Linked DNA regions of Neurospora crassa OR74A. The protein of the gene in region 1 interacts with the protein of each later gene in a biochemical or structural test. Links are inferred from orthologs where the notes say so. Each region holds a gene or a part of one and is shown in the gene's direction. Other genes may lie near its edges.

What was found. The genes of interacting proteins can lie anywhere in the genome.
Region 2: of the proteins of cdc28 (region 1) and NCU02036, one has a biochemical effect on the other in vitro, tested with the Saccharomyces cerevisiae proteins (2 studies listed by BioGRID). The link is inferred for Neurospora crassa OR74A from reciprocal best matches to the Saccharomyces cerevisiae genes CDC28 and SEN1.
Region 3: of the proteins of cdc28 (region 1) and NCU00213, one has a biochemical effect on the other in vitro, tested with the Saccharomyces cerevisiae proteins (4 studies listed by BioGRID). The link is inferred for Neurospora crassa OR74A from reciprocal best matches to the Saccharomyces cerevisiae genes CDC28 and CDC27.
Region 4: of the proteins of cdc28 (region 1) and NCU08009, one has a biochemical effect on the other in vitro, tested with the Saccharomyces cerevisiae proteins (3 studies listed by BioGRID). The link is inferred for Neurospora crassa OR74A from reciprocal best matches to the Saccharomyces cerevisiae genes CDC28 and MCM3.
Region 5: of the proteins of cdc28 (region 1) and bud6, one has a biochemical effect on the other in vitro, tested with the Saccharomyces cerevisiae proteins (2 studies listed by BioGRID). The link is inferred for Neurospora crassa OR74A from reciprocal best matches to the Saccharomyces cerevisiae genes CDC28 and BUD6.

What each region holds. Positions count from the first base shown.
Region 1 is NC_026506.1:1,088,424-1,093,203, reverse strand, and holds cdc28 (cell division control protein 2), read left to right. Parts: upstream 1-1,663; 5' UTR 1,664-2,380; coding exon 2,381-2,417; intron 2,418-2,501; coding exon 2,502-3,186; intron 3,187-3,268; coding exon 3,269-3,533; 3' UTR 3,534-4,119; downstream 4,120-4,780. Other genes in the region: NCU09779 (oxidoreductase), read right to left, coding at 1-644, 704-980. UniProt on the Saccharomyces cerevisiae protein: Cyclin-dependent kinase that acts as a master regulator of the mitotic and meiotic cell cycles. Required to drive the G1-S transition. More than 200 substrates have been identified. Substrate specificity is in part regulated by the bound cyclin protein.
Region 2 is NC_026501.1:1,604,444-1,609,164, reverse strand, and holds the start of NCU02036 (tRNA-splicing endonuclease), read left to right. Parts: upstream 1-1,468; 5' UTR 1,469-2,014; coding exon 2,015-2,397; intron 2,398-2,464; coding exon 2,465-4,721. Other genes in the region: NCU02035 (helix-hairpin-helix domain-containing protein), read left to right, coding at 1-1,058. UniProt on the Saccharomyces cerevisiae protein: ATP-dependent 5'->3' DNA/RNA helicase required for the expression and maturation of diverse classes of non-protein-coding RNAs like precursor tRNAs, rRNAs and small nuclear (snRNA) and nucleolar (snoRNA) RNAs.
Region 3 is NC_026503.1:3,027,094-3,031,777, reverse strand, and holds the start of NCU00213 (nuclear protein bimA), read left to right. Parts: upstream 1-1,431; 5' UTR 1,432-2,349; coding exon 2,350-4,684. UniProt on the Saccharomyces cerevisiae protein: Component of the anaphase promoting complex/cyclosome (APC/C), a cell cycle-regulated E3 ubiquitin-protein ligase complex that controls progression through mitosis and the G1 phase of the cell cycle.
Region 4 is NC_026504.1:3,901,452-3,906,241, reverse strand, and holds the start of NCU08009 (DNA replication licensing factor mcm3), read left to right. Parts: upstream 1-1,537; 5' UTR 1,538-1,767; coding exon 1,768-1,840; intron 1,841-1,923; coding exon 1,924-4,651; intron 4,652-4,724; coding exon 4,725-4,758; 3' UTR 4,759-4,790. Other genes in the region: NCU16827 (hypothetical protein), read right to left, coding at 126-443. UniProt on the Saccharomyces cerevisiae protein: Acts as a component of the MCM2-7 complex (MCM complex) which is the putative replicative helicase essential for 'once per cell cycle' DNA replication initiation and elongation in eukaryotic cells.
Region 5 is NC_026502.1:3,557,198-3,561,958, reverse strand, and holds the start of bud6 (actin-interacting protein), read left to right. Parts: upstream 1-1,508; 5' UTR 1,509-1,975; coding exon 1,976-2,230; intron 2,231-2,412; coding exon 2,413-4,761.

The sequences.
Region 1 (4,780 bases):
CTCCTTAGTCATGTAAATGATATCGCCAGACCGTAGCCTTAGCAGCAAGAACTTCTTGTCGCTCTTGCCACTTTCATTTTCTGCGGATCCCTTTTGCTTTTCGTCTTCCGACACCTTGCCCCAGTCCTCGGGACAAATCATGAAGAGCGAATCACAGCCTATACTCAAGCTGACCAGGCCTTTGTCGGTCTCTTCTGACACATCGCGGTGCATCATCATGGTATCGCCGGGGGTGTAGAAATTGACAATGGCCGCTTGGGCCTGAGTCTCGGGAAACAGGGTCTCCAAAAGGCCGGCAATGTCTTTGGGAAACTCGGGGGGCAGCTCGCCCGGGTAAACGCGATTCGTCCAGTCATACTGTCCACCTAGGGTGACCCAGTGTAGCTTGCGGTTGAAGACTTGTTGAAAAGTGAGAGGCTTGTGTACAGAAGGGTCCTTTGGCTCAAAACACGTCTCGGAATCTGGAGGGTAGGAGAAGAAGGATTCCTGAAGGCCTGTTTCGGGATCCACGGGCGGGTAGGGGAGCTTGAAATGGAGATGCATGTTGGTCTGGTGATGGGGTTGGTTGAGATCGCGGTGAATGATGTTGCGCAGTAGCGTCTTTTGGACCTCGGGGGGAATGAGGTTTGGGAGAATCAAGAGACCTTTTGGGGTTGGTCAGCAATGATTCGTGAGGAAGAGGGGTCCAGGATCTTGAGTTCACCAGGCAAGAGAGGATGGTAATAGATGGGGGCGTCCTTGTCTGTGCGGAACTCTGGTGAGTCTTCGGGGCAGATATAGCTGAAGGACCTGTTCAAAGTCTCGGTAGGAATGGAGCCAGCGAGCACAAACTCGGGGGCTTTTTCGGGACTGCGCAAGTCATCGATCTCGGGGCTGTTCATGACGATTTTCTGGTCGACTTTGGCGAACGACTTCCACTTGAGCCGCAGCTCATCCGACGGCTGCTCGTGCGCATCCAGGTCATGGTGTCCACCCATCATCTTGAAAGTCGGGTAGTTCTTTTGAGCGAGATATCCAAAAAGAGAACAGAAAAGTGACCGAAGAAATGGATATGAGTATACAAGTTGACTCCTTCCGAGTCCTCGTGTGACGTTGCGGATTTGGAGTAGGGAAGTATCGTGAGATGAAATTGTGGGGACTCGAGTGAAGCTTCAGACGGGACGGATGGTCGAGATGGATTGATGTGTGGGCGTCGAGCTGAGGCTGGGCTGGGCGTCTGAATGGCTGGAGCTTCTGAATGGCGCCACAAGTCAGGGGTAGTCAACAGTTAGAGATCGTGGCTACCTAGAAGGTACCTACGTATTCTGCCCCATCTTGGTGGGCTGTCGGGTACAGTCAATGCTCCAAGTAGTAGTACTTACTAGAACTAGGTAGAGGTGGTACATATGTACCTAGATTGCTTGAAAGTTTACCTACCTACCTTGAACTCGGAGTACCTACCGACGAGGAAAGCGGGCATTTTTTGGACGCGTTCATTCCTCCCTTGCAGTCCGTCCCTCCAGTGAGTGGTTTCCATGGTGCCGTCGCGGTCCGCGCTTTTTGTGTTGACACGGATTTCCGTTGCAAGCGCCAAGTCTAAGACGTAATCGTCCCGTCTCCAACCACCTGCACTCGGATGCCCGTCTGGAATAAAACCTACCTACTGCACTACAGTACAGCGGACCACCCCCCTGGACTGCCCTCTAAATCCGACACTCGAACGACAACCACAACTTCACAACCTCAACTTCCACTTGCACGTCCACCGCCTCTCCTTCCTTGGATTTCTGTCCCTTCACCATCACGGTCCCTTAGTATCAAGAAGTTGCAGGAACAACGGACGACAATTACATCGCTCGCTGCATCATATTGCCTTTTCATCAGCGGCCTTTCGCATTCAGCCCTCCGCCCAGGACGACCCGTCGACCATTCACGGCACCATCATCACCACCAAAAGTCAACACCAAAACAAAGTATTTACGGTAGCTAGTACTGTAGCCTTTTGACGGCAACGACGGACGATTCCACCTTTTTTCGTTTTTGTTTACCAATCCGCCACTGCGCTCCCTTTGGACACCACCTATCCTTGGCTGGACCTTGACTCTCCAAGGATCAATCAATCTCAAGAAGGCGACCCTTCGACGGCCGTCACTTTCTCCATCCGCCGCCGCCGCCGCCGCCGCCCCACGCTTCGTTCTGGGCTTTTCCATCAATCACTGTGCTTCAGCGCGCTAGGTACAACATCGTTCGTCGTAATCGTCCCCCACCACGACGACCACGAACACCAGGCACCAACCCCAACTAGTAGTTCTACGACTCCGGGCAAAGTCAATTCTTTCCCTCCAGGGACTTTCAAACCACCCATCTCAGTATAGCGGCCTGGACGGGTAACAGAGCAACCATGGAGAACTATCAGAAGCTGGAAAAGATTGGCGAGGGTACAACACCCCCTTCTTCTTCGACCCCTCCACCTTGGCTCTCTTCCTTCCATGTCCCGTACTGACATTCCACCTTCCGCATAGGAACGTATGGTGTCGTCTACAAGGCCCGCGACTTGGCTAACAGCGGGCGCATTGTCGCCCTCAAGAAGATCCGCCTCGAAGCCGAAGATGAGGGCGTCCCCTCTACCGCCATCCGTGAGATCTCGCTGCTCAAGGAGATGCGCGACCCCAACATTGTGCGTCTCCTCAACATTGTCCACGCCGACGGCGGTCAAGGCCATAAGCTGTATCTTGTCTTCGAATTCCTCGATCTTGATCTGAAGAAGTACATGGAGGCCCTTCCTGTCAGCGACGGTGGTAGGGGCAAGGCCCTCCCCGAAGGAACGGGCGCCGGACTGCACAATTTGGGACTGGGCGAGGATATCATCAAGAAGTTCATGAGCCAGCTTTGCGAGGGCGTCCGATACTGCCACAGCCACCGTGTCCTACACCGCGATCTCAAGCCCCAGAACCTGCTCATCGACCGCGACGGCAACTTGAAGCTAGCAGATTTCGGTCTCGCCCGCGCCTTTGGTGTTCCACTCCGTACTTATACCCACGAGGTCGTCACATTGTGGTACCGTGCGCCCGAAATCCTGCTGGGTGGTCGTCAGTACTCGACCGGTGTCGATATGTGGTCCGTTGGTTGCATCTTTGCCGAAATGTGCACACGCAAGCCCTTGTTCCCTGGTGATTCGGAAATTGACGAGATCTTCAAGATCTTCCGGTACGTTTATGCAGTTACCTTTTCTTGGCACCTTTCTGCTTCTCCCCTAGTCCGCTATACTGACCTCTTTTCCTCCAAACAGTCTGCTTGGAACCCCTACTGAGGACATCTGGCCCGGCGTCACCTCCTATCCCGACTTCAAGGCATCTTTCCCCAAGTGGGTACGCGACTACAACGTACCACTTTGCCAAAACCTCGACGATGTCGGTCTTGAGCTACTTGAATCCATGCTTGTCTACGACCCTGCTGGCCGAATCTCTGCCAAGGCAGCGTGCAATCACCCTTACTTTGAAGACTACAACCCCAAGCCAAAGAGCAAATACCGCGACAGCAGCAGATACGCCTAGGGACGTTCGCCAAGGTCGAAGCAGGAGCGTTAGGCAATAGCAGATCGACTATCCAAGTTTTGCAGCCGGCTGCTTAGGTTCGGTTGGATCTCGGTGACTTCAAAGTGGGCAGTTCGTGGCAAGGGTACAGTCTTTGTGATTCTACCAGTAGCGAGTGAGGTCGACACACCGAAACGGTGACAGAAACAAACTGTCATTATCACACCTGAAGCATATCATAGCATCCCACTTTGCTTTCAGGATACTCGGAAACATGATATTCGACACATCAAATTCCCCATACCTACATTTTGTTGTATGTAGGGTTGTGTTTTTAGGGAACAGCGTTCAAAGGGGTCATGGGTAAAGGAAGTACATTGGAATGGAGTTCTGTATTACACGATTCGGTGTTATCTGGAAGAGCAAATGGCATTCAAGGGATGGGGCTTTCTGTTAGCCCTGGTGCATATTAGGGAGTTGTGGTGTGAAGTGTACTGTACACAGGCAGGGAAAAGGCGCAAGACATTGTTCCAATAAATCTCGCATGTACATACTTTCCCCTGTCCAAACACAGGTCCTTCGTTTGGAGATGCGAAGTGATGTCGGCTGTTCCTTCATCTTTGATGTGCTCCATTTCTTTCTCCCTGCTCGGATTTATGTTGCCATTGATCGATTTCTCATGTTGCCTTCTTGGCTGTCTTTCTTTCCGACAAGCGCTCACACCACCGCATTACATGTCCCCCAACATTGTAGGCATTCGCTTTTATCAGACTGAGCAAATGGTACCTCAGCACATGGGACTGCAGACATCGTCATGCTGACAGCGCTAATGAAGAATGCTTTCAGAAAAGCCTAGCTCACTCAAGCCTGTACCAAGCGGTTGGCTCCCAACATTTCAGCTATCAAAAGAGCATCACGTCAGTGGATTGGGAACCACTCAACAAGACAGATCAGGCGTCATAGGGAGGCTATATACCTGCAATACACTCACTGAAGCTCTTCCTAGTCCCAGTATCTCAACCGTGGTGTTGCGTGGTGTGGCGTCCAGACACTCCATCGGGGCCGTACCTTTTTTTTGCCTGTTTAACGGTCTGTATTTTCAACACAAACCGGTAACAGGAGCTTTATCTCGCCAATCCGGACCGACATCTGCTATCGTACCTTAAAAGTACTTACATATTTGGCTTGGAGAAGGCTGACAGCGGAGGACGGATTCGTTCGACGATATCGTGCATGATCAACGAAAGGTAGTAGGCAATTGGTCAATT
Region 2 (4,721 bases), on another chromosome or scaffold:
GTACCAGGTCGTCTTCCAAGAGGCCAAATACAGAAACCGACAAAAACCTCGATAGCGGCAATGGACATATTATTGTCAAGACCAGCAAGAAGGCAGCCAAGGTCACCGCCACAAGAATAGCCACCGTGGACCGTGACAGCCCTGACTACAGAATGCCAGTGAGAAGGGGCCCAAATAATCCCATGGGGTTCACGCCAGGGTTCTCACCCTACCCCAATCGTCAGGCTCCTACCTCTGAAGCATGCGAGGATGTGTACCGCGTCTTGGCAACCATGCATGGCAAGGTAGAGCAACCCAAGGAAATACCCAAGGCATCTTTGGAGAAGGCCGGATGTGGCGAGGTACCTTGCGTATTGGACGCCCTCCTCCGGACGCTGATTAGCGGCAACACACTGATGGCCATGGCGGACCGAGCGATCAGGAACGTAGCTCAAGAGTACGGTTTACGAGAACACGGCTCAGGCATCGGAAGCATCAACTGGGAAAAGGTTGCCAGCGAGCCAGAGGAAAAGCTGGCCCAGGCTATCAAGGTTTCGGGGAACGGAAACCAGAAGGCCAAGCATATCAAGCTAATCCTCGACATGGTTGCGTTGGAGATGGCGCAGATGGCAATGGAGAACAAGGGAACGGGCGGTAAGCGAGAAGTCGCCTTCTCAGAGACGTTGAACCTAGACCACATGCACACCGTCACCAAAGACGAGGCCATGGCCAAGCTTGTCCAGTATCCCGGTATTGGCATCAAAAGTGCTGCCTGCGTTACACTCTTTTGTCTTCGCATGCCCTGCTTTGCAGTTGACACGCATGTCCACCGGTTCTGTCGCTGGCTCGGTTGGGTGCCGGAGAAAGCGAATGCTGAGGACTGCTTCAGACACTGCGACGTGAAAGTGCCGGATCACCTCAAGTATGGCTTGCACCAGCTGTTTATCCGCCATGGACAACAATGCTTCAAGTGCCGGAAGGCGACAAGGCCTGGTACGAAGGAGTGGAGGGAGGCACCCGAATGCCCGTTGGAACACCTGCTGGACCGGGGGAAGGGAGGAGACCATGGAGATGGATAGACAGGGAACGCCGGAAAGAGTCGATTTGGAAGTAGTTGGTTTCTTTCCAAAAGCAATAATTTCCAGTCTGACTCTTTGGCCCGCCATAACTTGAGACCCTCTTGATACTGTTGTGACGGATGAAAGCTCCCTAGGCCTTTTGACCTCAATGTTCGAAGATTGGTGATTCATGGAAGAGATGGGGAGTTGGGCGAATCCGTACCATGATATACAAGTATGTAGGAGCTCTCCATCTGGCTACTGGCAACAGCTGCTGAGCAGCTGCCTGTTTCTGACCATCGGACCTGCCTGCCGCGCCCCTCTGCCCCCCCTGCAACTTTTAGCGGCCCCACGCACTTTAGGTCTGACGCGGTTCCTTCTGGATTGACGCGCAACAACAGAACCTAGGTTTCGTTACAGCGTCCATTCCTCTTCCTTTCCCAGGCACTGTGGACGCTGGCTCTGGCATGTCAGAGGAAGCTCCCGTCTGACAGCCGCACCGTCAACTCCAACATACAACAGGAGAACCTTCACCGATTGCTTGGTGAAAGAAGAACGGAGTCAGACTCCTTCACTGGCCTGGAACATAAAACCCCACGAGCGCGGATTTCTCTTCTGTCCTATTGGTATACAATTTTCCTCCAACCCTTTGTCTGTGGGTGCAAGCGATACCCGCACATCCATCGCCATCTCGGCCTTTGCCCTCCGACAAAGCATCACTGCTCGTCCTCGGTTGCCTGGAGCATCTTGCTTCAACTATTCTTGTCATTCTTTTGCCGCACAAGTTGTTCCTCTAGCATATCTGTCGCTCACCTCGAAAGCTTCTTGTCGATGCAAAGGCTTCTCTAAACCATTCCGTCTGCTTTGCGCTGAAGGTTGCTTCTTGCGACCATCGAAGCGCAACCCACTTCGCCCTCCAAGCTCCGTCAGCCTAGACAACCACCAGAAGCCATCACGTTCTTGAATCGACCGCCGAGATGTCAGACAAAATGGAATACCCAGAGCTGGGGACCGCGGACGTTCAGATGGCTATGATGGAGATGCATCAAGCCTTTGAAGAGTTTCCTCCAGACGCACATCCAATTTGCCCTTTGCTCAGCGACGATGACGATACGGACTACGCGTTGCCAGACCTCCCCGATGCGAACGGAACAACGGTGGCAGAAAAGCAAAAGCGAATCGCTGACGGGTTCGAGAGACGTAGAATTACCTACGGCCTTTCGCTTCTGTTGGTGATGCCAGAGGCTGGTAAATGGATCAACGAGTGGAAAGAGCGTGTCAACTTCTTTCTCACAAAATGTGACCAATGTGCCAGGACATGGCATAGGACACGCCAGCAATTCATCAGAGCCATTGATCAGTGCGTATTCGCAAAAACCTACTTGGTCCACCGTAGGCCTGGTGACCCCAGCTAATCCGATTTACAGATACACTTCCCGAGACAACGCCGAGCTCTTGCGGAATCTACAGAAAAACCTCGAAGCCTTCGATGAAGAGCGCATCACGCGCGGCCTCAAGAGAGCCAAATTCATCCTTGAGAGGGACGGTCCCATGCCGACTACGAAGCTCGTTAGAATCGAACTTTGGCCGTGTCTCGCCTTGTTCGAATCGCTCTGCTGCATGGCATACTTGAACACCAACAAAGCAAACCTAGAGATATTCAATTACGTATTCGAACATGTCCAGCCTAAGAAGCCGCTGAAGATGGTGGGAGGCGCAATTCCGACCATGACATACTTCCTTTTCGAAGAGTATCCGGTGCACAGGGCGTTTGCAGAGGCACAATGGCAACGGATGCTGCCGGAAAGCCTCACCGATGAGGAGTGGGAATGGGCTGTCAGAAGCGGCCTCAAGTCCCATATACTCGGCCATAGGGGGATACAGCCCCCGGCGCGGCTGTGTCGCTTTTGGAGCGGATTCCTCCTCATTTTGCGAGCTATGAGCGAAAAGAGTATTTTGGAAAACCTCCGCGGTATGGAAGTACAACCGAATGTCTACTTCCTTGCTCTCGAAAACCTCGGCACCAATAACGTCCCTGCTTTGAGCATGATACTGAAAGCACTTCGTACGCTAATGGAGCGTTCGTCAAAGGCTTTCTGGGACGCCTATGACCAAGTCACTCCGAGTATGATTGTGGAGGAAATCTTCAAGAGCCCGGCTTTTCGGCCCTTTTTAAACCAGTCTCTTGAGCCGGACATGATGGTCGAGGACCAGGAAAACAACGGTCAACTAATACCAGCGTTGGCAGAATGGGTCAGGGCCTTTATCCGTTCCCTTCCCTCAGCGCGGCGGTCAGACGTTTGCGAGACTCTTCTTCGGCATCTGTTCGAAACTCTCCGGGTCGACGCAGGCGCAGCCCCAGAAGCGAAGGCCACTTGCATCCTTGCTGGTCTGGTGACCTTGAGAGAATGCTTGGACGGCTACCTCAGCCTTCCATCCTTTGATACAGGAACGTCTCTTATTATGGTCAACCAGTTACTCAACAGAGTGATTCAGTACAAGGAAGTCATCATTGACGCGACCAGGCTCAAGGCCGCGGACAAGTACAACGTTGGCCTCTCACAGGCTGCTATAGCTATCATACAGTCTGCCCTGGCATTGGACGCGAAGGCGACGTTGATGGAGTGGGACGCTTTCGTTAAGGAAAAGCCTGTTCAAGATGCCGTAAACAGGGACTCTGGCGCATTGTGGGAGTCATTCCTCGAGCTCGTCTGGAACGGACAAACAGATCTCGCCAAGGCCATGTTGAGAGCTACGATGCCTCTCAGGAGTATCGAACGGTTTATCCCTAAGCGGAAAGACCAGCTCAAGAACGAGCATGCAAAATTCAACAGACGCTTTCAACAGCAAACGGCGGCAATTGGCAAAATGTTAGGCCGCCTGTCTGACTTCAACCCGGCTGATCTTGACAGTTTCTGCTCGGATCCGCAGAGTAACACCATCCAGCCCATCGTGGCGACTCTAATACACGGTGAGGAAGCCATTCGCGAAGCTGGCTTCGAGTTGATCAAAGCCATCACAGGTGAGATGACGCCATCTGAGGCCGTGAATAAGATGCTTGAGGAGTACTTCAGCCAGTTCCTGGAGGCCTTCACTGGCGCCGTAAACCATATCACCAACGCCAAAGACTCCAATAATCCGTGGAGTCACATGCAACACTTGTTGAAATGCTGTGAATTCGTGCTCAATAGCTTAAGTGATCCGTCTGTAGGTCAACTCAGACGCAAGACCCTGACCCCTGCGGAACATGCTATCGTCAAGGGATGGTGGGATTGCGAATGGAGAGCCGTCGGCCACTCGTTCGGATCCATGAGACTCTGGCACGTGAAGGTGGACAAGAAAGTCATGGAGGACTTTTGTCGTGATGTGATGGAACTTGCAGAGAAGCTCCTCGCCCAAGACGGTCTCATGGCTTCGGCACTTAGCAGTCCTCAAAGCATCTCGGCGACAAACGGTGACGACGGCTCAGAGGGCATGAAGTTGGTCCTGGAGCCGCCGAGAATACACTCGCTTCCCTTAGTGGACATGTTGCAACTCCGCGATAAATATCTTATCGCCGGTATTATCGAAATCACCAAGAAGTTGATCAAGCGTCTGCAAGACAACGGCATGGATCTTCCGCCAAAAACAGTCGCCTATCTCAACAATATGCTGAAGAAGAGGAAGATGACTGATGGGCGAACG
Region 3 (4,684 bases), on another chromosome or scaffold:
CGACTCTCGAGAGCAATTCCCATCACGACTTACTCCACTCCTAACTTCACGATGAAGCGAGTGAGTTGTTGCACCATCGTCAAAGTACTTTCTTGACCATTTCCCTCGCTCTCAAATAAAGTAGCGAGACTAGGTAGTTTTACATGCTTCAACTTTCACCTCTCGCAGTGTAGCAAGGGAAGCAATGGTGAGTGAAAGGTTCAATACCTTTACGAAAATCTTGACTCCTGTTACAATGCCCGTGTAACGGTGCAGGGCGTGCAGTGCCTAACGCCGGTACAACACCAAAAGACGGATCAATCTTCTGTTCGCTAGACATAACTCGAATGAGTTGCCACAATTTCGGGATTCGGTGAGCAACGCCCACCGCCGGATGGACAATTTGCAATTGATGATGAAATTTGGGGGTGAGCCCAAATGGTCATCAAGAGTCGGGGACGAGACAATTGAGCGAGTGGTAAATATACAACACCGAGATGACAGATGATTAGTAGTATGTTGCGCGGGAATGGCCGCAGAGTCACTGTTGATGTCTGGGATACATCATGAGGTCGGCCAGGTGATGGTCGGGAGCGTGGGTACCAAGAGAAAGGGTGAAGAGGAGCATGAATATAAGAAACGAGGATAGTCCAAGACTTCGTTCGAAGGCATCCTTGGTGCATGTGAACTTGAAACGATTTAGATTGAGACACAGTGTACCCAGCCGCCAGAGTGCGGCGGAGATTCTTGATATGAGAAAGATTGAAGTCAACACCGACCTGAAGCGGTCCATCCGCAAGCGGCAGTAACTTCCCCACCCTCACTTGTCCCCGGAAGGACCGACTGATGAGCCAGAAGCACACCTGCCCTATAGTTCCTGCACATTGCCCATCATGAAATCAATCTACACTACTCACTACAGTCAGTAGAGGGCAGGAGCAAGGATGAAATTCCACGCGTCACTCAGGACCGTCGCCGATAACCCTACAGTGAGAATTTCTTTGTCATAGTAGTTGTTGCATGATGAAGGTAGACCCGAATCTTGGCATTGCAAAGGATGAGCGAGATGCATGGATGATATGGAGGGAAACGGCAGCTTAAAGAGGTCCATGGTGTTGATGTCAAATGGATCTTCGCCAGCCACTTGGAGATCAACTGTGGCTGGGAATGGTGACTCGGCATTGCTTGCGCTAAATCAGATCGATTGACGGCGCTGCAGGCACCAGGGCGCCATGTGGCTTTGGACTACCTCTACCTGGGAGCCTGGGTTACTACACTGAAGTTGTACACTGCACTTACGATGGGGATGAGCCGGTCTCGGCAGCTGTCGGGCAGTTTGCAGTTGCAGAACTGAGGTGTGAAGATCGATGAGACCGGGGGTCGGGTCAGTTGTCACTGTGTTGCCCGGCAAGCTTTCCCCACCACTGTTTGGTTCGGAAGGCAGCGTCGCGCAGCTACCGCACCTAACCACAACATTCAACCCAACCCAACCAAAGTCTCACCCTGGAGTCGCGAACGAGACTGACAGCCAGCCAGCGCTGCAGCCGCAACAAGCAAATCAAGGGAAGAGTGTGGTTGCCGTGACCTTCGCCTTTCCGAATTCACCATCTGTATCGCGACTTCAACGCTGCCGCGCGACCAAAGCAGCCCTTGCTGCCGCCGCCATCTCAATCCCTCCGTCACGAGGTGCTCGGTCTAGTTGCAACACAAACTGAAGTGTTTGGGAGAGTGGAAAGTCATGTCGTGTTAGACATAGTACCCAGGTTGCTGTTGTCGTTGTTGGAGAAGCTGACCCTTGGACCCTTCCCTGTCGGTGACGACCTGCTTGCCGGGTGCATCATACTACATCTTCAACTCTTCTTTTTTTGTTTGTTCTCCGACGTCACAGACCATCTTGCATCTTGAAAGCGGCACCTTCAACATTCCATCACTCCGCCATTAAAGTCTCAATTCTACCCTTTGCGACGCTTTCAGCAAACTCGGATTTTTTTTTTGTCGATACTCTTTTAATACAGCAGCTGCATCGTCCATTGTTCGCGCGCGCCCTTCATTGAGCGCAGCCCATCTCCCCCTTGCACCCGGCTTTTGCTTTGACCGTGCAGGCGCAGACTGATTCCGACAACGAAGATCGCTCCGTCCATTTACGAGTTTCACGATTACGAAGAACGACTTAGGCCTCGCCCCTCGATAACCCTTTCGCTCGAAGTGAGCCTTGCGAATTTGCTACTCCTGCCCACCCTCCGACATTCGGTTTTCTGAACGAGGCGCTTCACCCTCAGGTCACCATCTTTTATTCGGTAATCCCATGGATCCGTTTTGCCGGTAGCATAACTCATACACCACTTCGACCGCGGGTTTGGTGGTTTGGCCATGGCGGGGAAGATGACGCCAAATAATGTTACCGTCTCCCTTTTGCTAAGGCAGGCCATCTACTACCATCTCGACAATTGTGCCTACGAGAGCGCACTTTTCTTTGCCGAGCGACTCTATGCCCACGACCAATCCTTTTGCGATTCCGCCTATCTCCTCGCCTACACCCATCTGCGACTCGGCGACGCTCGAACCGCCTACCATGTCAGTCGGGGCTCGGGATATAGAGGTTCGCATTTAGGGTCCTGCTACGTCTTCGCTCAGGCGTGCTTGGAGTTGGAGCGATACAGAGACGGAATCACGGGCTTGGAGAATGGGAGGAAACAATGGTCCAAGGCGGACAACTTGGGGAAACATACCTCTTTTACCAGGATGCCATATCCCGATGCGGCTGCCTTTAGCTGTCTCCTGGGCAGACTTTACCGAGCATATGACGATAAGAAAAAGGCCATACCATGTTTTGAAGAGGCCCTACGACGAAATCCGTTCATGTGGGAGGCTTTCACAAACCTATACGACATGGGAGTGAGCGTCAGAGTGCCGAATGTTTTCAGAGCGAGCGATGGTCTTGCGCAAACCCTCGAGCATGGCCTCAACGCTACGCCGATTCTTGCTTGGATTGCAGGTCCTTCTCCGCAACCACCAGAGCCCTTGCAGCTAAAGAAGACCGGCCAGCAACAAAACAGACAGCCAAGCGATCCATTCGGGCCATATGGGACATCCCAGGAATCGGCGTCATATCCAGACTCGGAAAATGGCTTTATATCCAAGATGTATCTTTCTCAGTCAGGCATTACATCAAGTCAGCCAGGGAAACCGCTTGAGGAAACCGATACGCAATCTGCGCCTGCTCCAACCGCCCATAATCCTCAGGTCACTCGTGCTGTACACCAGGCAGAGCCGCCGCAAGCGCCACCTCGGAGAACTCGGGCGGCCCAGGCAACAGACTCTACTGTAACTGATGCACCACCCAGAACGGGACACCGTCTGGGAACAAGAAGAAAAGATAAAGCTCAAGAATCAGCGAAAGACCATGCGGAATCAGGTACCAAAACATCAACGGTTTCCAGCTCAATTACTGAAAGAAAACGCACGGCAGCAGGGCATCCAGTCCAAACAAGATCGATGAACAATGAGGAACCTAGGCGAAGTGCAAGACTTAATGTAGTTCCAAGACCAACGGCAACGAAAACAACGAGCGCGGGAGCAACCCGTGAGCTGAGGAAGGCTAGGCCCCCAATATCTCGATTTGCTCGGCCGGGCTCTAGTGGAGCAAACGTTGGTCGAGTTATCAGTGGCAGCCGGAAGCCGCCACAGGAGGATATTGGTATGGACATTGACCACGCCGAGGCAGTACCACGCACCAAGGAGCCGCCGGTGCTGCAGGCGGCACCACCTCCACCCCCCGCCCCTAAACCAGCGGAGTCTGAGTTTGTCAAGGCGGTTGAAGAAGCTTTGAAAACAATATTTGATTTGTTGAAGAAGTTGGCATCCGGTTATGCGCTTTCATCCCAGTTCCAATGCCAGGAGGCAGTGGCGGCGTACATGTCACTTCCGAGGAGTCACCAGGACACACCCTGGGTTTTGGCACAGATGGGAAGGACTCAATATGAACAGGCCAACTATGCCGAGGCAGAGAAATACTTCAAGCGACTTCGCGTTATTGCTCCGACTCGCCTTGAGGACATGGAGGTCTACTCGACTGTTCTGTGGCATTTGAAGAAAGAGACGGAGCTCTCATTCCTTGCCCATGAGATGATCGACTCAGTATGGGATTCACCAGAAGCATGGTGTGCCCTTGGAAACGCATGGTCGTTGGCATATGATCATGAGCAAGCCCTGAGGTGTTTCAAGCGAGCGACGCAACTGGATCCCAAGTTTGCGTACGCCTACACCCTACAAGGACACGAGCATGTAGAAAACGAGGAATACGACAAAGCCCTCACGGCCTACCGACACGCCATAGCGGCAGACAAGCGCCACTACAATGCATACTACGGCATCGGAAGGGTCTACGAGAAGCTGGGTAACTATGACAAGGCACTGAGCCATTATCACGCTGCCTCGGTGATCCATCCGGCCCATGCGGTTTTAATCTGCTGCATAGGCTCGGTCTTGCACAGGCAGAAACAGTTCAAACAGGCCCTACCGTACTTCACCAAAGCGACCGAACTGGCTCCACGTGCCCCTGATGTCCGGCTAAAGAAGGCTCGTGCCCTTTTGCAGATGGGACAGTTAAAGGCGGCGCAGACAGAACTCATGATTCTGAAGGACTTGGCTCCAGACAGGGCTCAGGTGCACTTCCTTTTGGGCAAGCTCTCCAAGACACTGCACG
Region 4 (4,790 bases), on another chromosome or scaffold:
GCTACAAAGGCCGGGAAGCAACCGGAGCCACCCGACAATTCGATTGGAGGACCCGCTGGGCTTGTGTCAGTCCTTCTCACGGCGCCTCACCAAAGTATGAGGCCCATTCCCGTTTACGGCTGCAGTCACAGCACACTACTGTAACGAACCGCGTCATCCCGAAAGACGATCCAGTCTACCGGGAACCGATTACCGTGTCTACATGATGGAGCTGTACGACATGGACCACAACAGCACAGCTCGTTGACGATAAGGGTGGTTTTCGTCCCGCCTTCGAAGAAATCGTACGACCAGAACCGCAGGAGAGAGTTGATGCTGTATGAGGCTAATGGCAAACGGCATAAAGTTGATGACCATATGTAACTTGCCATAGCCATGTCTGCAAGCGGGCAATGACGGCTCAAGTGAACAGTCGGGAAGTCGAAACAACAAACACAACACATTTCACGGTAGGATCCCGATGGGATCCCGATGGTGATGGGCTCTAGTCGGGTACGAAAACCACGGGAAAATCAAGGAACCAAAGGATGTATTCAGCCGTTGCAGTTGTTGAGCGGAACCTCAAACCTGACTGCCGTGAGAAGAACGGATGTGGGGCAGTAATCGCCGGCTAGGAGCAACGTCTATCGGACCGTTGAAAGTTGATGTAGCATGTGAACGACGCAGCAGGGGAGACAATGATCATGGGGAGCTCAGGATGGCACACTCTGGCTCGCGCTTGGAGCCGTCGAGAATCATCACCCGACTGGGGTCGGTTTTGCTCGAGTACTTGGGCGCTTAGGCTCATAAGTAACATTGGTACCAGTGAAGCTGCGAAAGCCCTGCGTTGGCTTATGGGTTAGAGACTCCAAAGAGTGGATCGAGTAACTTTTAGACACTCGTGGCTTCTTTCCATTTTACACTTTGGTAACAATCACTTTGTTTCACCCATGTCGTCCACTTAACAGGACCCAACAGATGTTGTCCTATGGTCATACTTCAACTGCTAACACGAAGCATAGCACAACTACGAAGTATGAACTTGTAATTTAAAGGCTGGGAGGCACACATGTATGTGAGGTACACACGCTAGTGACCAACAACACTACTGAGGTTTCGGCCGCCTTGAGGTTGTTGTTCTTTCTCTTCTCGTTTTCGGGGCAACACAACGTGGGCTTGCTCGCTGAGGATCAAAGGCCATGCGGAGTACCGAGGTCTTGAAGACACTGTCGAGCCAGACATGGACGCTGGTCAAGTTGAAAAGGCCGAGAGGTACAAGTTAGAAGAGATCAAGCATGTGCAAATTGACCTGGAATGTATGTACAATCTTCGTGGAAGTTTTGTTATCGATAGTAAATGTAACCTGGAAACTACACTGAGTGGAAGTCTGGAGGGCCGAGGTCTGGTGTAGGTGGTTAGATACTGGAAATTACACGCTTCTTGATGGCAATTATGGGTAATGACGGTATCAGGTACAGCCCCGCTTGTATCAATTAAGCCCCCTGCCTGAAGCAAGGGGTTTAGCGCGACTCGCGTGTCGTCGACGCGTTTTCCACTTAAAATCGTATCGTTTCGTTTTGTCACTTTTCCATGGCGGCTCCGCAAGGTGAAGCGCATGCGCCAAAACAAAACATCGGCGACTCTTTCATTCTTCTCCAGCAATCTTTTTGGACGACAAGAACGGAGGCCACAACGACTAGCCTTACTCCGCGTCCGAACCCGTGTTACCTTTGTTTCCCGTCTGTGACACTGGCTTGAAGAGTTGTTCTTTGGATTAATACCTTCAAGATGGATTACAACGCCCTCCGCGACGAGGCCGTACGCGACCGTGTGCGCCAGGCCCAGGAGTTCCTCGATCCTCGTACGTCGAAGCTTGAAGCTGATGCTGGCCCTTTGTTCACGACCGAAGCATGGAACGAAACTAATGGCGAACCTTATCTACAGATGACCAGCACCAGCGAAGCTACAGACCAGACATTGTGTTGATGCTCCAGAAGAACCAGAGGAGACTCGTCGTCAATATCGATCATGTCCGCGATCACAGCTCTGAGGTAGCCGAGGGTCTACTTACCGATCCCTTCAACTGGACCCTCGCCTTCAACCATGCGCTCAAGACTATCGTCAGCACCGTCCCCCAGGCCCGCCCCGATCAAATAGACCCCGACGTCTTATACTATTGTGCCTGGGCTGGCAGCTTTGGTCTACACACCTGCAACCCCAGGACACTGTCCTCCCAACACCTCAACAATATGGTCTCGATCGAGGGCATCGTAACAAGGACGTCCCTGATCCGCCCCAAGGTTGTCAAGAGTGTACACTACAGCGAAGCCAAGAAGACATTCCACTACCGCGAGTACCGCGACCAGACCATGACGAACGGCATTGTCACCAACAGCGTCTACCCGCGCGAAGACGAGGAGGGCAACCCGCTCGAGACCGAATACGGCTTTTCGACCTACCGCGATCACCAGACCATTTCCATCCAGGAAATGCCGGAGAGGGCACCTGCTGGTCAGCTGCCCCGAGGCGTCGATGTGATTCTCGACGATGACCTGGTAGACCGCGTCAAGCCTGGCGACCGTATCCAGCTCGTCGGTATTTTCCGGACGTTGGGTAACAGAAACACAAACCACAATAGCGCCCTGTTCAAGACGGTCATTCTGGCCAACAACATCGTCCTGCTGTCCTCCAAGTCGGGTGGTGGTGTGGCTACAGCTACCATTACCGACACCGATATTCGCAATATCAACAAGATTTCCAAGAAGCCAAAAGTTTTCGAGTTGCTTTCACAGTCACTGGCTCCCAGTATCTACGGACATGACTACATCAAGAAGGCTATCCTGCTTATGCTGCTGGGCGGCATGGAGAAGAACCTGGAGAACGGTACACATTTGAGAGGTGACATCAACATCCTGATGGTCGGTGATCCTTCCACCGCCAAGTCGCAGCTCCTTCGTTTCGTCCTCAACACTGCTCCATTGGCTATTGCCACGACTGGTCGTGGTTCTTCCGGTGTTGGTTTGACTGCTGCTGTCACATCCGATAAGGAGACTGGCGAGCGTCGTCTGGAGGCTGGTGCCATGGTTATGGCTGACCGTGGCGTCGTCTGTATTGATGAGTTCGACAAGATGTCAGACATCGATCGTGTTGCCATCCACGAAGTCATGGAACAGCAAACTGTTACCATTGCCAAGGCCGGTATTCACACCTCCCTTAACGCCCGTTGCAGTGTTATCGCCGCGGCCAACCCTATCTTTGGACAGTACGACACCCACAAGGATCCTCACAAGAACATCGCCTTGCCCGACTCCCTCCTGTCGCGTTTCGATCTTCTCTTCGTAGTCACCGACGACATCGAGGACACCCGTGACCGACAGGTATCCGAGCACGTCCTTCGCATGCACCGCTACCGCCAACCCGGCACCGAGGAGGGTGCTCCTGTGCGCGAGAACGCCGGTCAGGCCCTCAACGTCGCCCTCAACGGGCAATCCGAGTCCCAAAAGCCCACCGAGATGTGGGAGAAGTACGACGCCATGCTGCATGCCGGAATCAAGGTGCCCAGCGGCCGCGGGTCTGCCAACAAGAAGCCCGAGATCCTCAGTATCCCCTTCATGAAGAAGTATATTCAATACGCCAAAACGCGCATCAAGCCGGTACTGACGCAGGAGGCTTCCGACCGCATTGCTGACATCTACGTGGGCCTGCGCAACGACGACATGGAGGGCAACCAGCGCAAGACGTCGCCCATGACGGTCCGTACGCTCGAGACGCTCATCCGTCTGGCCACCGCCCACGCCAAGGCACGCCTGTCCAACCGCGTCGAGGAGCGTGACGCCGCCGCTGCCGAGTCCATCCTCCGCTTTGCCCTTTTCAAGGAGGTGGTCCAGGACGAGTCGCGCAAGAAGCGCAGAAAGACCCGACCCGCCGAGGGCGAGGATGGCATGTCCTCCGACTCTGACGACTCTGATGACGATGACGACGACGTGGCAACTCAAACCACCACAGCCCGCTCCAGCGCTGCCAGAGCTTCTCGCGCTTCCCGCGCTTCCCAACGCGCCAGCCGACGCACTCCCGCCAATGGCGCTTCCTCCTCCTCCGCAGCAAACGCCAACGGCACTCCCAGAGAGGAAGAAGAAACCCAAGGAGCAGAAGAAGAGGAAGAAGACATCTACGACGCCACCCCGCGCCGCTCAACAAGATCTGCTCGCACAACCGGCGACTCACAACCATCCTTCGCCTCTTCCCTTCCCGCCTCGCAACTTCGCTCCACTCGCTCCCAACGATCATCTCGTCGCACCGCTCAGAACCAAGACGACGAAGAAGAACTCGCCTCCGGAGCCGCCAACCTCAACGTCGACGAAGACGAAGACGAAGAAATGGACGTTGACGGCGAAGCCGCCCCAGAAAACCAAGAAGAGGAAGAGGAGGAAGAAGAGGAAGAAGAAGATGAGGAGCCAGCACCAATAAGCGAGCACCGTCTTGACGTTTTCCGTCGGGCGCTCGGTCCGTTGTTGAACTCGGGACTTTTCGAGGACGACGCTGCGGATGTGGATGAGCTGATCAAGGCTGTTAATGAGAAGATTCCCGGAGGCAGGAGAGGCGGTGAACAAAAGTTTGAGAAGGAGGAGGCGCTGCAGGCGTTGAGGGAGATGACGGAACGGAATCAGTTGATGTGAGTTACCCTTCGCTTGATATTGTGAGGTGTGATGATGTCGAGGAATGATGCTAACGCTGTTTGATGATAGGTATACCGATGGTCAGCTAGTGTACAAAATCTAGTCTGGTGGACTGGAAAGGTTAAAAAACCGAAT
Region 5 (4,761 bases), on another chromosome or scaffold:
CCGCGGGAGACTCGGCGGACTATGGCGAGGGAGATTCGACGCATCATGGAGCCCTTTGATGTGCCCAGGTAGTAAGGGATGATGGTTCCTTTTCGAATGGCTGAGGTTTGAATAACATGGGTGTCAAAGCTTGCAAATTTGCCTGGTATAATCTGCGTTTGCTCATGGTGGAAGGATGGGAGGCAACCTGGCCGATAGACGACGGTATGTCCAGCAGACCGTGTTGTTCAATACAGGGTTGTACACAACGTTCGAGATGCGACACTCCAGTTGAAATCCTTCAGCAATTGATGTCGGCGATCCTCTTGTGCCTTGTTTTGTTGTTGCCGACTGGAAGCTTGACATGGACTGCGCTGACGAGTTCACCTCCAGCTCCGCGCCCGTGTAGGGTTCATGAATATCGGTAGTCGAAGGCCGCGTGAAGTCGGATGGCATTGAACCTCCAAGATACGAGTTGGAGACGGAACTGAGTTCATCTGTGTTGTTGTTACGGACACTGCAGGGAAGAAAACGTAAGCCCAAACTCAAGCTGAAGGACACTTGGACACTTTCAATTTCGAGGCTGTCTGGATTTGGACCAATTTCTCTGCCCGGTCGGTGCCTTGCGCCTTCCCTTCCCCCCAGGACCACCAACTTCAAGAGGATTCGGTGAGATCTTGGTAATGAGGACATCCGGGGAAGGAACAGAGGACCGGACTCAATACTGAGGTGGTGGACAGTAGGTAGGTTGCCGCCTTCTATATGTTCATGGTGTGTTTGTCGGTGTGGCCTCTCAACGTTCCCTGACTTTGCTGCTTGTACTGTGTTTTACATGGATGGCAATGGATGAGGTGCGACGTCAATGATGTGCCACAAATAAAAGGCATTTGACGAGATGGTGGTGTAGCAGAATGACGGCTATTGTCAACATCCTTGGTCCAAGATGCGGAGATCTGGCGGTGATGGTGATGATCCTTGTCTTTGGCGGTTTGGATGAAACATTGAAACACGGGGAGTTGTTTGTTCAGCAGGGCTGTGGGGGACAAGAGCCCCAGGGTCGTGTTGAGTCGCGTGAGACGGCCCGATCACATGGGCTACAGGTTAATCACAGCCATGGCTGGCTTGGACAGTGTTTACCAACAATGAGAATGGATATTTTGTAGCGCACCCCCTGTTATCGGCCGCTCTTACCCCTGTCCAGGGAAGGGCACGGCTACCCCTCAGGATCCCCTGCCCTCTTCTTGCCATGTGCTCACCTTCAGGCGCTCCTCTGAGCTAAGCGGGTATCATGTGCTGTTACCGCGCCCAGCCATCACTAACAGTAACAGCCTGGAAATTACAAGCTAACGTATTAGTACAATCTGCTTGAACCAACAGTGATGGCGAAATGCAAAACAACTGAAGGGAAGCGAGGTCAGGAGCCCACCACAGCGGCTGGCAGCCCAACTGGAGCCGTTGCCATGGCCTGCGCCTCCACTTTGGCTTCCATTTGGCGATACAAGTTCCAATCCACTGCAATTATACCTAGTCCCCGACTTGTCAGCAACGACGGGACATCCGTCCTCAACGCAGTTCCATAGTATTTGTCCATCATCAACAAACACAACCTCGCGCATTTCTCAAAAGCTTGTTTCTAGACAAGACACCTACTACTGTCCGCCACCATATCCTGATGCGCCGCCCTGATTGAGACGGCCAGCAACATCAGTCGTCGCCAGCATCTTGAAGGGCTCTTGTCATCCCGTCAAACCGATTCACTATCTCTTTATTTGAAGCGACCAAGACCCTGTCGCCAAACGCCCCCGGCCCGGTCTAGACGTAGCTCCCGCCATCTACGCGCCGTCGAATCTCCCATCTCTGCCCAACATCTGCTAGAGGTGCCGACCCGACAACACAAGCCATCCCGCCTGACGTGATCTCCTTTTTGCGACACGACCATTTGCCCTGAACATCACAAGCTCTATCACATCCATCAGACAGCAAGGCAGCGCAGCACATGATGAATGTCCCGGGTCCCGGCCGCCCCATGCAGCGACGCCCCCCCGCCCCGGGCACCGAACCCGGTGGTGGTGGTGGTGGTGGTGGTGGCCCGCCCTCCAACATGCCGGCCCGCTCAATATCGCCCGCCGTTGGGATGGGAGGACAGATGGGTCCCCAAGCTGGCATGTCGAGGTCTTCAGCTGGCTCAAGTCGCTCAGTTCAAGGTCCCGGCGGCGGCCCCGCCGGCGGTGGGAGCACAAGGCGAAACAATGTGAGTAATCATCTTCCCGCCTTGGCTTCCTTTACTGTTGTTACCATCGGCCTGTTTTGCAGTCCCCCTTTCTCTCGAGTCTTTCCATCTACATGCGCGCGTCATGATGCCTCTCCTCTCCTCTGTTCCAATCCTCCTCTGCCGTTTGCCAGTTCGCTGCTAACCAGGGCATCTGACAACAGTCATCTGGCGGCTCGTCGTCCGTCCCACTATCGCAAATCGAAAGGAGCGTCACACATCTACTTGTGGCCACCAAGCAACTGCTCGAAACCCTGACACAATGGTCCCGTGGAAACGCAACCGATACCCAGGTCTCCGACGTCTACGTACGGCTGGGCTACGAGTTTAATATGGCCTGCCGAGCCTTTACTGCCATCAATGTCGATATTGACGACTTGGGCAACGTACCCGAGATGCTGCGCACCATCCTGGAGGCCACTCTAAGTCAAGAAGCCAGCGCTGAAAGTCTCGAGAAATACCTGCCAAAGATACGTGATATTATCATAAATCTGCTGCATGGTTTAAAAAGAAAACAGCAAAAGCTAAGGCATCGCCAGCAGCGGGATAGAGAGCCGAGTATCGCGGGAGACGATGGAGGCTATGGTCCAAGTCGCGGACCTGGGCCCAGTAGCAGTGGCGTGCCCACCAGAACTACGAGCACTAGTACCATGGCTAGTGTTAATTCTGGGCTCACCAACATGCTGAACGAAGGGCTGGAGAGCAATGGCTACCGACCGGACTCTTTCAGGGATGATTCTCGGAACTCTGGTCCTACAACGGCATCACCCACCAGACGTCTTCCCTCGCAACGGGACCAATCTCGCGGCTCTGTCACCTCTGACCAGTCCAGCCTGTCGAGCAACACGATGCAAAACATACCCGTTATGGCGCCTTACCCAGGTGAAGAGACAATTCCAACCGGCCCACCGGCACCACCCGAAATCAACGTGGACAACTTCCCTCCGCCGCCGCCGCCGCCCAAGGGATCGGGACAGAGCGCCTTGGCGGCTCTCCAAAGAGGAGGTAATCTGGAAAGACGAGCTTCCCGCAGATATGAGGCATACCAGATTTCCAAGTATCTCGGCGCTATGGTCCCACCCCAGACAACGCCGATACCCGATAGGGGCAACCGCGAGGCTAGAAGAGAGTCGCTGCGGGCGATGCACGTAAGGGAAACCCCCCGCCACAGCCGCAATGTTTCGAACCAGTCCCAACGTACCATTGGCCTCGATTCCTCTCCCGTTCGAGTTCCCAGCCGGGTTCCTGAAGAGCCTGAAACGGCCGATTCTTATACATTTAGCAAGGCCGACAACTTGAATGTCCAGGCGCCAGATGACAAGTATCCTACTCCAAGCGCTACCCTTAATGGCCCGCTCGCAGATCCTATCCCGATGGTGGATGAGGTAGACTCGTCTAAGCCCGCTGCTACGAGGCCTGCTCCTGCGCCTGCCGCTCCTCAGCATCAACACAAGCCGTCCATTCGCGCCTCGACTCCCGATAAACAACCGCCCAGCTCGTTTATGCTCGAGAATTCACCCCCCGCAACCAAGGAACTGACCCTCTTCCTGCAGTACAAGTCCAAGGTCAAGAAGTTCGTGCTCCCTGAGGGCTACGAGCATCTGTCTATGGCTCGTCTTCAGCTGGCCTTTATTGAGAAGTTCTCGTGGAACACGCAGCAGAATGGAGCTGATCTACCGGAAATTTACATTCAAGATCCCGTCTCCGGTGTCCGCCATGAGCTTGAGGATCTGTCCGATATTAAGGACCGTACAGTGCTTGTGTTGAATGTCGAGGTTTTGGATGAAGTCAAGAAGCATATTGACAAGAGTATCGGGTCCATCAAGACCATCATCCAGCAGGTTAAACAAAATGTCGACGATCAAAACGCCGCCATTCAACGTGTGTCGGAGCGCCAACAGGAGACCGCCAAGGATCTCGCTCGCATTGCCGCCACGCCGCCTCCCACTATCATCGCACCAAGTGGTATGGACTCGACGGCTTCGCCACGCTCTTCGTCTTCCTCTGTCGCTGGTGCTGCTGCCCTTGCCGGTTCCTCATCCAAGAAGCTCAGCCCAAGCCAGCTCACCGAGATCCAATCCCTTCGTCGCGACCTCGCCGTTCTTCGCCAGACCTACTCCAACTTCCAGTCCGAAGTCCAAGGGTCCATGACTACTCTTCGCAACAAGGCCAACAATGTCAAGACCGCCGCCGCCAAGTTGTCCGTTCCCGATGGGGAAGGCGACTCTGGTCGCGCTTACGTCACCAAGGGTCGGAAACTGCTTAACGCCGATAGTGACCGGCTTGTCAACCAGGTAGACGACCTGCAAGATCTCATTGAGGACCTTCGCAAGGACGTTGTCCACCGCGGCGTCCGCCCACGCCCTAACCAGCTCGAGTCCGTCACCAAGGACATCACCACGCTCTCCAAAGAGCTCAAGAAGATGGAGGAGTTCATGAAGAAGGAGAAACCCATCTGGACCAAGATCTGGGAAAAGGAGCTCGAGGAGGTCTGCCAAGGTCGCGACGAGTTG